Linked DNA regions of Caenorhabditis elegans. The protein of the gene in region 3 interacts with the protein of the main gene of each other region in a pairwise test. Each region holds a gene or a part of one and is shown on either strand. Other genes may lie near its edges.

The links. Proteins that work in one complex are often made in the same cells at the same time.
Region 1: the proteins of T10E9.1 (region 3) and skr-2 interact in a two-hybrid assay, tested with the Caenorhabditis elegans proteins (2 studies listed by BioGRID).
Region 2: the proteins of T10E9.1 (region 3) and skr-1 interact in a two-hybrid assay, tested with the Caenorhabditis elegans proteins (2 studies listed by BioGRID).

The regions. Positions count from the first base shown.
Region 1 is NC_003279.8:9,467,686-9,471,137, reverse strand, and holds skr-2 (Skp1-related protein), read right to left. Parts: upstream 1,485-3,452; 5' UTR 1,435-1,484; coding exon 1,354-1,434; intron 1,173-1,353; coding exon 903-1,172; intron 858-902; coding exon 684-857; 3' UTR 501-683; downstream 1-500. Other genes in the region: twk-29 (Potassium channel domain-containing protein), read right to left, coding at 2,286-2,362, 2,416-2,632, 2,680-2,875, 3,015-3,105.
Region 2 is NC_003279.8:9,469,784-9,473,145, forward strand, and holds skr-1 (Skp1-related protein), read left to right. Parts: upstream 1-1,766; 5' UTR 1,767-1,780; coding exon 1,781-1,861; intron 1,862-2,045; coding exon 2,046-2,321; intron 2,322-2,366; coding exon 2,367-2,540; 3' UTR 2,541-2,862; downstream 2,863-3,362. Other genes in the region: skr-2 (Skp1-related protein), read left to right, coding at 1-1, 183-452, 498-671; calm-1 (EF-hand domain-containing protein), read right to left, coding at 2,914-3,131. UniProt on the Caenorhabditis elegans protein: Probable essential component of SCF (SKP1-CUL1-F-box protein) E3 ubiquitin-protein ligase complexes, which mediate the ubiquitination and subsequent proteasomal degradation of target proteins.
Region 3 is NC_003279.8:6,541,104-6,548,945, reverse strand, and holds T10E9.1 (F-box domain-containing protein), read right to left. Parts: upstream 3,837-7,842; coding exon 3,754-3,836; intron 3,711-3,753; coding exon 3,155-3,710; intron 3,079-3,154; coding exon 2,855-3,078; intron 2,810-2,854; coding exon 2,692-2,809; intron 2,640-2,691; coding exon 2,451-2,639; 3' UTR 2,353-2,450; downstream 1-2,352. Other genes in the region: F57B10.8 (Activator of basal transcription 1), read left to right, coding at 1-145; acdh-4 (Short/branched chain specific acyl-CoA dehydrogenase, mitochondrial), read left to right, coding at 315-468, 519-619, 850-1,293, 1,662-1,758, 1,807-1,952, 2,003-2,218; T10E9.2 (C2H2-type domain-containing protein), read right to left, coding at 4,069-4,141, 4,189-4,610, 4,661-4,901, 4,961-5,113, 5,159-5,412, 5,461-5,620, 5,772-6,399, 6,452-6,530 and 2 more.

The DNA of each region.
Region 1 (3,452 bases), 2.9 Mb from region 3:
TTGCAGATATTCAGAGATAATGTTTTTTAATTATATAAAATTAAAAAGAGAGCGGACGGCGTACATAATATAGTCTTTTCAGCGAATATCGGCACTCGATTTTTGATAGATAGAAAAAGGAGAATATCAGGAAAAAAAAAATGAAAGAAATGGAAAAAATAGATCTCGTTTTAAAGATATCGCAACTTTCAGTTAAATGCGGGGATTTAGCAGCGTCAGGCGCAATATGCGATAAAGTCATGTAAATACATTACTTGAATAACCCCATTCGCAATTAATCACAGAAAGTAATTTTCATTCACACGATCCGTAGCTTTTAAAACTGAGAAAAGTATTGTTTTTTTATTTATTTCGAAATCTACGCGCGCGGAAAACGAAGCAACTTTGGCCTAGAATTTCACATCTCGTCATCTTCCATTTCAAAAGTGAAGGATCTATAGTCCTGTTCAGACTAAAAAATACTATTGCTGTGGCTTTAAAACCAATTGCATTGTTTGCAATTTTCATGTTCACATCAACTTTATTGAATGAAAAACAGAACTGTACACAGTTGTGTCAGCTGGCAGTGAAGAAATTTGTTAACAATTAAAAAGTGCGTTTAATAAGGGGAAAGATATGGTGGATGATGTGAAACATTTAGAAAACAAGGTAATTGAAAGTTTAACAGGGGAAAAGATGGAGATTTAATCATCGCACCAGGCGTTTTCCTTACGGATTTGCTCTCTCTCCTCTGCAGTGAAGTCGTCCTTGATGTTGAAAGCACGACGAATTTCATCTGGAGATTTTCCCTTGATCATGTTGGCGACAGACTGGCAGGCGACATCAAGAAGTCCTTTGATGTCCAAATAGTTGGCAGCCTGAAAATAGGAATTTAAAATATTGCAACTAAAATAACAAGTTACCAAAATGAGCTCGAAAAGGGTTCCTTGGTCAATATCGAGAAATTTTTTGTCCCAGTCTTGGATGGAACCATCCGTTTTCTTCTCACTGTCTTCAGTTGGAATTGGGTCGGACTGGTGTTTGGTGCACCAGTTGATAACCTTCTTCAAAATCGAGGCAGTGACGTTTTGCACTGGAATTGGCTCAGCGTTGGTTCCTTCATCGTCGTCGAGCCCGAGGTCCACAAGAAGAGTGTTGAGAGTGTTTGAGAGACGGATCACATTGCGTGGGACCTGGAAGTTCAGATTGCAATTTTTCCCATGCCATCTAGCGTACAGTGCCGCTTTTTTTGTTGATTTATTAAAAATCAACTAGGCTACTAAACATTTTCTATAAGAACTGCGAAAGCGTCTTATCGACCCGAAGCCTAGTTTTTCAGATAAAAATGACAATAACAAACGAATTTCAGCTTACCAAGAAGATTTCATCATCCGAAGACGAGATCTTGATTTCGCGGTTCTTTGCTGCTTCGGATGCTTCCTTTTGGTCAGCCATCGTGTTGTAGTTGACTGGAATTAAAATTAGTTGTGACAGGGTCACTAACGAGAGAAGTGTACAAAAACCACGCGGAAAAAACAAAGCAATGGTTTCGTTGGAATTCTATCAGAATATCTGCAAAATAGAAAAACTATAACTAAAATAATAAGAAGAATGATTGAGAATACAGGAAAAAGATACTGGAATGAATTCTCAACGTCAATAAAAATCTGCTACTTATTGGTAGTCATCGAAAAATTTTAGCCAGAAAAATTGTATTTGAATATATTTCGAATTTGGTTGATGCTCAAACTACAAAACAATCAAGCACACCTGTATGTGAAAACATTTCAATTCTGGATAATTTAAATACTCAAGCTTCAATCATCCATCTATACATTGAGACGATTCACAAGAAATAGAAATCGCAACAAAAAATATTTGAAGACAAAAAAGAAAGTCGTTGAATGAACAACTCTTCGAAAAGCAAGTGACGATTGTTTGTTTCTTTCTCGAAGAAAACTAAAATTATAAATTTTATATAAAATTAGGAAAGAGAAAGTGTGCATTTTTATGTCGCGGTGTTTACGGAATAGTTTACCGTAACTTTTTGAAAACTTTAAAGAAATTGAATTCCTTCTGCGGGCGCAGTTTCTTCGAGAGATAGTAAATAAAATTGAGTTTTATATAATAAAATTGTATTATCAATTTTAAATATTCGATCTACCGACTTCACAAAAATAATAATGCTGTAAAATGTAATAATGTAGCTGGGAAAAGTTATATATGTTTTGTTTATGTCTATTTTTTTAAAGAAATTTTTAAAAAGTATTTATTTGAGATTTAAGAAAAGAAGAAAAAACAAAATGCTATGCATCTGTAGAAAGATCAGAGGTGATAGTTGTTGAAACATTCATAACGCCGTCGTGGCAAGCTTGATCTGAGTCTGAAATTGATTTCGTTAAAAATTCCCATTCACTTCAATTCTAGATAACATACCAGTTGAACCATTCAATTTGGCTTGCATTGCTCTTCGGCGTGGAATTGGAGACAATCGGGACGATGTGGTTTGTGATTTATCAGCAGCTGTTTCAGAATCAGATGTATCCTCTATTTCAGACATCATTGGTTCATCTTCAAAATGAACTGAAAATTTCTTAGGCCTCATATCAGTGAGATCATCTTCCGAATCGACAAAAAGTGGGAATTGACCATCCTGAAACATTATTTTCTTCGAATACTATAAAGTTTCAAATATCTCACTTTCATAAAAAGAGGAACAAGTTCTGGAGGCCATATTCCCTCAACAATCATATGTGTTTGAGGAACTCTTGAAAGTCTTCCCAATTTCACTTGAATTGCTGTTTTAACCAATGTATCAATATCTATGTCTGCTATCACATTCTGATCAATTCCAATATTCTGTCCAACTGCTGTGATGAGTTCTCGTACTTCCAAACTAAAAATATTAGCGATACAATTATTTTCTTTAATTAAAAGCTTTTTGACAAAAATAGAGAACGTTGTTATAGAAACAAATCGTAGCTAAAAGTTTTAGAACCAAATGAAACAATTTACGTCTCCTTTGCCAAACCCACTTCCTGGCACCGAACCAAATCCGAATGTTGGCAATGTTTTTTATTTTTTTGCCAATAAAATGTAGCTTTCGAACATAAATTGATCCAATATCTGAAAAAATTCTTGTTTGTAATATTTGGATATGATTAAATGGTCCCCACGGGAATACCATGTAAACATGCTCCAGAAAAAAGGCGAAAAATCAATTTACTAAAAGGACTTCAAGTTAAGTCTGAATTATTTCATGAGCTTCGTATAACAAAATGTGTTTTTAACTTTTGATAAAGTATTGTATTATAGAAATGTTTTTCAACAAAAATTTCTCAACTCAGTCAAGAGCGAGTCACGGCAACCTGGTCCAAAACCATTCCTAATTAGTAAACATAACTAAATAGCTCAAAATCATTGCTAACTAGCAAAAAAACATCGTTAATTAGCAAAAAGAGGCTAATTAGCAA
Region 2 (3,362 bases), 2.9 Mb from region 3:
GGTAAGCTGAAATTCGTTTGTTATTGTCATTTTTATCTGAAAAACTAGGCTTCGGGTCGATAAGACGCTTTCGCAGTTCTTATAGAAAATGTTTAGTAGCCTAGTTGATTTTTAATAAATCAACAAAAAAAGCGGCACTGTACGCTAGATGGCATGGGAAAAATTGCAATCTGAACTTCCAGGTCCCACGCAATGTGATCCGTCTCTCAAACACTCTCAACACTCTTCTTGTGGACCTCGGGCTCGACGACGATGAAGGAACCAACGCTGAGCCAATTCCAGTGCAAAACGTCACTGCCTCGATTTTGAAGAAGGTTATCAACTGGTGCACCAAACACCAGTCCGACCCAATTCCAACTGAAGACAGTGAGAAGAAAACGGATGGTTCCATCCAAGACTGGGACAAAAAATTTCTCGATATTGACCAAGGAACCCTTTTCGAGCTCATTTTGGTAACTTGTTATTTTAGTTGCAATATTTTAAATTCCTATTTTCAGGCTGCCAACTATTTGGACATCAAAGGACTTCTTGATGTCGCCTGCCAGTCTGTCGCCAACATGATCAAGGGAAAATCTCCAGATGAAATTCGTCGTGCTTTCAACATCAAGGACGACTTCACTGCAGAGGAGAGAGAGCAAATCCGTAAGGAAAACGCCTGGTGCGATGATTAAATCTCCATCTTTTCCCCTGTTAAACTTTCAATTACCTTGTTTTCTAAATGTTTCACATCATCCACCATATCTTTCCCCTTATTAAACGCACTTTTTAATTGTTAACAAATTTCTTCACTGCCAGCTGACACAACTGTGTACAGTTCTGTTTTTCATTCAATAAAGTTGATGTGAACATGAAAATTGCAAACAATGCAATTGGTTTTAAAGCCACAGCAATAGTATTTTTTAGTCTGAACAGGACTATAGATCCTTCACTTTTGAAATGGAAGATGACGAGATGTGAAATTCTAGGCCAAAGTTGCTTCGTTTTCCGCGCGCGTAGATTTCGAAATAAATAAAAAAACAATACTTTTCTCAGTTTTAAAAGCTACGGATCGTGTGAATGAAAATTACTTTCTGTGATTAATTGCGAATGGGGTTATTCAAGTAATGTATTTACATGACTTTATCGCATATTGCGCCTGACGCTGCTAAATCCCCGCATTTAACTGAAAGTTGCGATATCTTTAAAACGAGATCTATTTTTTCCATTTCTTTCATTTTTTTTTTCCTGATATTCTCCTTTTTCTATCTATCAAAAATCGAGTGCCGATATTCGCTGAAAAGACTATATTATGTACGCCGTCCGCTCTCTTTTTAATTTTATATAATTAAAAAACATTATCTCTGAATATCTGCAACTCGAAATTTAGTAAATATACCGTTCCTCCATTATCTTTCTAGTATTTTTTTAAAGACTTTGTCCATCCAATAAATTGTCATATTTGTCAATTCGTTCCCGCATTGCGTTCTATAACGATCGATAACTCTGCGTCTCTTCCTTTGTGTGTACACTGTTTCCTCGCTTCTCTACACTGTTTCCTCGCTTCTCTCGCATCATACGACACACTCACATTCTATTCGCTCATTTCTCAACGTTCTCATTCTATTTTTCGTTGTTTTTCTTTGTTTTGCAGGTATTTTGCGTTGGAAAATTTAAAACTTTTAATTTTTCTCGATGGAAATACTCTTAATCGTTCTTTTTTTTTTCTACCTGTTCTTCTTTATTATTTGTATGTAATCGTTCTTTTCACAATAATTTCTCAATTTCAATCGATTTCAACGCGATGGCTGATCAAAAGAAAGTATCCGAGGCGGCAAAGGAACGCGAAATCAAGATATCGTCTTCGGATAACGAAATCTTCTTGGTAAGATTCAAATTATTCCTTCGTTTTCGTTATTTTTGTCTAAAAAAACTAAATCGATAAGCCGTGCTGCATGCATGCGCGCGTAGAGTTTTGCTTCTTGGTATCCTAGGTGATCTGACTTATAGAAAAATAGACAATGTTAAATGTTCCACTATATTTGAAAATTCACAAACTAAACTTCCAGGTCCCACGCAATGTGATCCGTCTCTCAAACACTATCAACACTCTCCTGATGGATCTTGGACTCGACGACGAAGAAGGAACCAACGCTGAGCCAATTCCAGTTCAAAACGTCACTGCCTCGATTCTGAAGAAGGTCATTAGTTGGTGCAACCATCATCACTCCGATCCTATCTCGACTGAAGATTCCGATAACCGCGAGAAAAGAACTGACGACATAGGCAGCTGGGACGTCGAGTTTCTTAAGGTTGACCAAGGAACCCTTTTCGAGCTCATCTTGGTAACTTGTTATTTTAGTTCCAATATTTGAAATTCATATTTTTAGGCTGCCAACTATTTGGACATCAAGGGACTTCTTGATGTTACCTGCAAGACTGTTGCTAACATGATCAAGGGAAAATCTCCAGAAGAGATTCGTCGCACTTTCAACATCAAGAACGACTTCACCCCGGAAGAGGAAGAGCAAATCCGCAAAGAGAATGCCTGGTGCGAGGATTAAATTACCCTTCAGTTTGCCTATTTCTCTATTACATTTCTAAACGACATGTCGCTTCCTTCCCCTTCACACTTCACACATTGTCCTGATATGGTCTCTGTCTATTTTTTACATCATCTCTGGCAGCCCAAAAACTTCTTCCTTTTTTCACCTAATTAAAATGCATCTTTTGAATTTTAACCGCCATTCTATATTTATACCTATAAATCACCGACCGGCAAAAATTATGCAGTGTGAGATTCTCACACATTTCCTCCAATGAACATCAGTGTGTCCTTTACGTGATTGTACATGCCTAAAAATAAAGTTGATGAGACGATACAAAAAACAAACGATTTATGTAAAACATTGAAAAAAATATAACCCGTGAATGTATTTAAATTCTGATATGAAAAGTTCTAATGAAGTCAGGTGATCGAGAGACAACGTGTTCAAATTCTGCGAAGTTTATACTCGAGTCTCCATCCAAATCAGCTTCTTCAATAATTCGTTCAATTATAAATTCAACTTCTACATCACTCAGCTCATCTCTTGTTAAACTTCGAATCATTTTACTCAAATCATCATGTCCAAGAAGTTCATCTCCATCGTAATCTAAAACAATATTTTGATACTAAATTAAATATTATTACGCAGACCTCTAAGGACCGCTATTGCAATATAATTTTATCAGATATAAATGCAAAATTTATGTCATGATTGTTAAAATAACAATATGATATAATACAATTTATTTACGCGAGTTACAGTAACCCGTTGCCGGAATGGCGAGACGTTGCGCGTAAATTGTGGTGAAAATTCGCAACTATGGACGTCTACGTAATA
Region 3 (7,842 bases):
TGAAGCAAAGGTTACAGCTTCCGGTGGAAAGTGGGATAAATTCCAGCGAGATGTCCAGCAGAAGAAGGTTGTGAAGGTGAAGAAGGAAAGATCAAAACATGTTAACACAGAGAGTAGCGAATTGATGAATATGATCTTCAAATAAAATTAAATCTTTTTTCTCATTGTTACTTTTATTGTTACTTTTTCACTGTTTTTGTTGCCCTATTGAAAACTTTTTTAAATATAAAAGCGTGACCATAATTCTCCTCCATGATCACACAAACCTTTTTCCAATGTTTAAAAATGTAGTTCCTTCTTTTGAATTCTTCCAAATGTCTCTTCTCGTCCACCAACTCCGTTTGAGCTCATGCAGACGCTTGATCTCTAGCACGTCATCATTGTTATCTTCAAAACCACGTAATGAGGATGATATTCCACATCCATTGCAAGTATTGTCGGAGCAGGAAACCGGATTCGTTAAAACTGGTTTGTACTGAAGAATTAAAAGATTCAGAGAATAAATAGTGCAATTTAAGTTCGTCAATTTGCGGATACAGTGATAAAACCTCTGGTTCGTGAAATGGATCGAACTTCGGAAATGACTCCAGCTGTGATCAATGGATGCTTTGAAAATGGGGTATTATATGAAAGTAATTATCCAGTTGCGACACTTTACGGTCTCGCAACGAAACAAATGTATTTTTTAATTAACTGCGCAAAACGATGCGCCTTCAAATTAGTACAGTAACCCATTTTTGAGAAATGTATTACTGTACTTCTTAAAGGCGCATACTTTTTTGCGCGACGTCTACATAGTATAGCAACTGGGTAATAATGTATTTTGAAAATGTTTAAAGTTAACCTCAGCTGATGGGCATCGAAGTTCCTGAAAAGTACGGTGGCCCTGGAGCAACGTTTTTCGATGCTGCTCTCGTAATTGAAGAAATTTCAAAAGTTGATGCATCGGTTGGAGCAATGGTTGATGTTCATAATACACTCTTTATTCCTTTAATTATTGAACTTGGAACAGAAAAACAAAAAGAGAAATATCTTCCAAAATGTTATACTTCATCAGTTGGATCATTTGCTCTTTCCGAGACCGGATCTGGATCTGATGCATTTGCATTGAAAACAACTGCAAAGAAAGATGGAGATGACTATGTGATTAATGGATCAAAGATGTGGATCTCAAATTCGGAGCAATCGGAAACATTCTTGGTGTTTGCTAATGCGGATCCAAGTAAAGGATACAAAGGAATTACATGTTTCATTGTTGAAAAGGGTACTAAAGGATTTACCATTGGAAAGCATGTAAGTTAACTTTTATAACCATTTTCCAGAGTTATTTATTGTGACTTTTCGCTCAAAAAAGTCTCGCCACGAACAAAATATCAAGTCAATGACGCTCAAAATGAGTGCCTCCAAGAAGTACAGTAACCCATTGTATCGTTTTTTCATCGTCTCTTCTATCCAAGACATTATTTTGCTGAAAAAATTATTGAAAAACATGAAATACATCAAGGACTCAAAGGAAATCAATGGAAGCAGGCATATGGGGTTACTGTATTCCAGTTATTTTATTCCTGGCGAGAACGGGGGTACAGTAGTTTGTACAAAAACGCAACAAATCGAGTTTTGCGGTTCCGCTTTAAAATGGACGTAATAATCATCAAGTTCAGGAGGACAAATTGGGAGTTCGTTCATCTTCTACGTGCCCACTTCATTTTGATAATGTACGCGTTCACAAGTCGGCAATTCTTGGAGAATTTGGAAAAGGTTGACTATAGAATTAATAATTCCAATTTAAGTACACAATGTTTAAAGGTTACAAGTACGCAATTGAATATTTGAATGCTGGTCGTATCGGAATTGGAGCTCAAATGCTTGGATTAGCTCAAGGATGTTTTGATCAGACAATTCCATATCTTCAACAAAGAGAACAGTTTGGGCAGAGAATTATTGATTTCCAGGTGAGACATAAAACATGACAGAGAAATATATATATACAATAGACTTCTAGGGAATGCAACATCAAATTGCTCAAGTCAGAACTGAAATCGAAGCTGCTCGTCTGTTGGTTTACAATGCTGCTCGTATGAAGCAACACGGATTACCATTTGTTCGTGAGGCAGCAATGGCGAAGCTCTTTGCATCACCAAAGAATTCCCCGTCGAGAAATACTATCGTGACTGTAAAATTGGAACGATTTACGAAGGAACTTCCAACATTCAATTGAGCACCATCGCGAAGCTAATTGACGCCGAATTTAAACAGAAGGCCTGAAAATGTACCTCTCCTCCTTATTGCGAGGGTTAATTCGATATTCTCATTTGATAAATATGGATTCATGTTGGTGTTCTAAGGGAAAATGTTGTTTGAAAATTTATTCTAATTTGTATCTATTGAACGTCTAGTTATATAAAATTATAAGAGAACGAGAGAAAAAACGAAACGTTACAATTTGATTATTAATAGAATTCTTCGTTTTCCCCATAATCTGTATCTTCATAGTCAGATTCATCGAGATTATCTTCATAACGTTCGTAGTCATAATCGGGATCAAAATTGCTATCCTCATCGTTATCATAATCATCATAATTGTCATCGTACTCCGAAGAATCGTCAGCGAAATGGGGTAGACCGAGTAGAATTTTCTTCTGAAAAATAACGTATTTATTTGGAGACATGAAAACTGAATATTGAACTTACAAAACTAGGCGAGAAATCATAATTTCCGGTTTTTCCAATTTCTAAATTAATCCAATTCTCACTTTTCCATAAAACTACAAGTCTTTGATCATCTGGAAGTTGCTTGTGATATACATTGCTGAAATTAAGATATTCAAAAAATAATTGTCAAATTATGACATACTGGCCAGAGTCCTGCTCAACTTGTGTAAATCCTGCAGGAATATTTTCAAAATCTAGGCCACTTGGGTTCATGATGTCAAGTTTCGATCCAGTTGATCTGGTAGCCACGAACTTCTCGATGACGTCACAAATAAGGTCACCAGTAAACTTCTTGGATTTGAGAGAGATCACTGACGCTTTTAGTGCCATGACGTCTTCATAGGTTGCTGTGGTGATAGTAGAGATCTGAAACACATAATTTCTCTAGTCACAAGTTATATGTTTTCTAAAGTGCAACGCATATATTCATAACTCATCTTACCTCGATTTTGTCCATTTTTTGCACAATTGCCGCATTTTTCCCGAGAAAATCGAAATCATCGTCATCATCACGAGCTTGTCCGTCTATTTTCAAACCATTCAGCAAACTTCCATCACATTTATCAAACATTTTCCAGAGAAGGTCACATTTTCGCGGATTTCTCCAAAAAATGGATTGAACTTTTAGAGAACTTTCCATGTTATCTAATGTCTCCATAAACTTATTATTCAATTCCTCGAAATTATCTGATAATTCTACAGTTAGGAATCCAATAACAACATTATTTTGAAAACACATTCGATTAAGGAATGCGATAGCCTCATCAATTGGTCGAGATCCTTCAATTATAATATCATTTTTCGAAGATTGGGAGATTCTTGTGTCGCATTCGGGAGTCATTTTAAACTTGAGAGAATGTACATCTTTGAATAGTTTAAATGTAAGTTTTACGAGAACTCCTACACTGTGAAGATCCTTGATATAGACCGATGGAATGAAGAGTTTTGTAGATGAAACAGCATGATTCATAGTAGAAGAGGTTGCACGAAGTTTGCATCTAAAGTTTTGATTTTTTTAAAATTATTTAAGGAGAATAATACCTTGAAATTAAATCACATTTCTCGATAAGCTTCTCTAACAATTCTGGGGGCAAGTCTAATATTTCGATAGGTTTTCTCACCATCTGAAATTCAGAAAAAGCAATTATTTCGGATCAGTTTGTTACAGCAAACCTTGGCGGAAATTTTGAAAATATATCACAAATAATCTGAGACCTGAGCTGTACAACAGAAGTTGGAAACAAAAAAAAAAGTTGAAAATAGTTTTAAAAATTGAAAGCATTTATTTTTTGAGTATCGAAAAACTATTTTTGAAACTATTTTAATAAATTAACAACGAATAAATTACTACGTAATCTAACAATCATCTGAATCACTACTGGAATCGTTTGAAATATCAATCTTCTTCCTTTTTGCTGCTGTGCGAACACTGAAAAAAGAAAATTGAAAAATTTAATTTAATTTTTACAAACTCACAGTTCTTTGATATCTTTTAATCTCATATTATTCCAATTATTTCCTGCTATTCGTTCCGTGGTAGTTTCCGATTCCATATCTTCTCCTTCTGATGATGATGACTGATCTTTCCAGTCAACTCCTCGCTTTTCAGCTTCTCTTTTAACCCATTCACGAACTTCAGCTGGCCTCATTTTTGATAAATCTTTCACTTTAAGTTCTGTACTTTTCGATCTTTCTCGTCTCTCATCTTTTGTAGTAGCTTCTAATAACAAATTCCGTTCGAATCTATCGTCTTCAGAGTTTGATTCATCCGACGAAGACGAAGAAGAGCACGATGATTCATTCCACGTGTCTTTCCTATTTCGAAAGTTATCTTGGAGAACTTTGAAGGTTTCAGTGAGAAGTTTTCGAGCATTCATAGCAGATCTTCGACCACTTGGCTGAAAATTTTGATATTTATAATTTTAATTTTAAAAGTATTTTGAATTACCGTATAAATTTCTCCATCAGTGTCTCTTTCACTTTTGCCAGGCGTAGTTACTTCTGAGAATCGAGGAACATTCAGGTAACTTCTTTTAGCTAATAAATCCATTTTTGATTTTAGCCGCTTCCCATCGACAGACAAAATATTGTGTGGTTCATCATCAAGTCCACCATCCGAATAGTTATTTTGTCCCATCAATTCATTCGCGGTTTCAGTATAAGACGCTGGACGAAGTTTTGCAGTTTCTCTGGAAATTCGAAGGGTTTAATTTCACGAAAAATTTTGTAGAATATTCTAAAAAAGAACCTGGTGACGACTCTAAATCCATGAAGAACGATATGAAGTAGAAAATCAATTTTATTAAATGATCGATAGCAGAACCCACAAATGACTGTCTCGTTGATGAAATCTTTTGGAATAAAAAAGTATTGCTGTGGAAGAGTATAATCATTTGGATCTCTGAAAGTTTTTGTTCTGATAAGAACATATTTTGAAAAAAATTACGTTGCATTGAACGTTGATTCTCCCTTAATCGTATACTGAAGAGGTGTGAATGTTCTAATATCGAATGAAGCTCTGATTTCATGTTTCGCCGATAACCATTCATAATTCATGAATTCTTCAGTAAAAAGGTACTTGTGATGTTGATCAATATGTCGAAGAGCATACATTCTCATAATGAGTTGAGTCGTGAAAATGTGAGCATGGGCACGTGGACAGAGACAACAACGCCACTTGAATTCATCTTTTCGTAGGTTCTAAAAATCGAAAAAATTATTTAAATTTGAAATTGAAAAAAAATGTACCTTGAAAACATTAGAATATAGAAACAATTCCTTGGGAAATTCAAAAGTGTATACTTCTTCTTCTTCTGGATTTTCAGCGTTATTCACATTCTCACCGGCTTCGTTCGCAACTTCTTTTGGGTCAGGTTGGACATGTGTGAAGGATGAGCTCGATGCGATACTGAACAAATAATAATTGAAAAAAACGAATGTTATGCAGGCAGGCCTTATCAAAAAATCAGAGTTGTGCTACGAATTCAGTAATTTTGGTGCTCCAGAATATATCAAAATTGTTCAAGTTTTACTACGCAATAGTTTTTTATTTAACTTACGGATCTAGACAACTATGACTTGATAATCGAAAGTGTTGTTTAATTGTTTCAGAAGACACCAAGCAGCAACAAACAAGACAATATCTGACTTCTTCCTTCTCCATTCCACTTCTTTTCTTCAACTTTGTCAGGAAATTCTCACCGTTTTCCATTTTAGACAAGTTAATAGTGTAAAATGTCAAATAGCTCCGCCCTTTGCACATAATTCTTTGTTGTCGTATATGCATTAAGGCTCTCACATCGAAATCAGTCTCTTCATTGAGATGATACCACTCAAATTCGAAAAACCCAGGAACACTAACCATAACTTCTTCGAAATGATGATGTTCTAAATGAGTCAGGGCGTATGTCCGCATACTGATTGTCTCATTGAAATTAACGGCTGATTTTCCTTCACACATTGGACATTTCCAGCTAAATTTTGAATTTAGAATTCGGAATGTCCCAAGAGACCGCCCATTTTTAAAGTTCTGCCACCATCTTGCAGAGTTTGAACTGAAGCTGTTTAGTGTGGAATCCGTTGAAGAGAGGCGAATACCCCAAAAGTTTGAATATGATTTTCCAGCGGCGATCCGAAGTTCGATTAAAGAGTTGTCAATGGAAAATTTGATGTGACGATAATTGCAGGCTGAAATTTAAATTTAAAATATCGAATTTTGCTTCATCCCAAGTTTACTTACCATGAATTCGTTTCAGATGATCTTCTGTTTCTTCTTTATTTACAGGAATACAGCAGGTACGACATTGGGTTACTTCGTTCTACAGTAAGTCTTTCATTAATATTATTTTAAATATTTATTCCTACCTGATGGCTCATTGCATGTTCCAAATGTTCTTTTTCATCGTTTCCCATCAGTTTGGAGCAGTATCCACAGACATGCAACAGATTTTGCTGAAAACAAGTATTTTTTCGCTCTGATTAATTACCAATTTCTACAAACCTGTTGCAAACTATTTGAATCGATACTTGATGAGTTTCGTCGAAGCTGTTTTCTTTTTGGAGGCATTATAAGTTTGAAAAATAAAAGAAAATGGAAAGAAATCTCGCTAATTTGTCCATTCAAAAAACAATTCTACCCGCGTTTCTCTGCTGTCTCCGTTCTCTGCCGCGTGACGAAAGAGCGCGCTTGCATTAATTCATTTCGGCGGTTATTCAAAACAGAGTTTTTGGCAGATTTTCAAAAGTTTCAATTAGTTTCCAATTAAAGGCATAGGCAGGTTAAGAATATTTATTGTCTCACTGGAATCATAGTAATTATAACAGATTAGATGATGTCAAAATTGTAGAACAACTTTTTTGGACGTTCCAAGGTGGTAGAAGTCGTTATTTCAAAATGATAATTTTTAAAACTATCATGAACCTTTTTGCGAAAAATAACGTTTTTTCCTTGTTATAAATATTGTTATTTTTAAAATTACGAACTATGTATTTAGTTATAGAATGTATATGGACACTGTTAGAGGTACATACAATTGAAGCATAACGTCAACAGTGGAGACACAGACAACGAACTATTGGATAGTCGTTCTTTTCCGAATAAATCCCAAAACTATGTTATTTCTCTCCGTGACACATATCGATTTTCTCATTTCACGTCTGCGTCTTTTGGTATCAGAAGCTTTATTCAGACTGTAGATTTAAAGTTTAAAATAGACTCCGCCCATTTCTTGGCCTCTCTGGATTTTGAATCTGTTCTCAATATGCCTGAGCCGAACAAATATTAAAATCAAAACAAATCCGTACAATTTATGAGTCTTCATGAATAAAACACTTCCGATGTTAAACAATACGCCAAAATTCCAAATGGTTTATTTTCTAGAAATTGGCAAATTCAATATAGTAAACCGTATCTCATAATTCAATATTTTATATTTTCTCCACAAACAACAAAAAAAGAAAAACAAAGAAATCTCTTTTTTTTGCAAATTCATATTTCCCCCTGCTCTTGACATTTGCCTTTCCTTCTCTGCGTTTTCCTTCCATTAAATGTTCTGTGCAGCTTTTTTTCCTTTTTTTCCATTATTTTCCTTATTACTATTTCTATTCCTAAAAATGGCTCTACGAAAACGT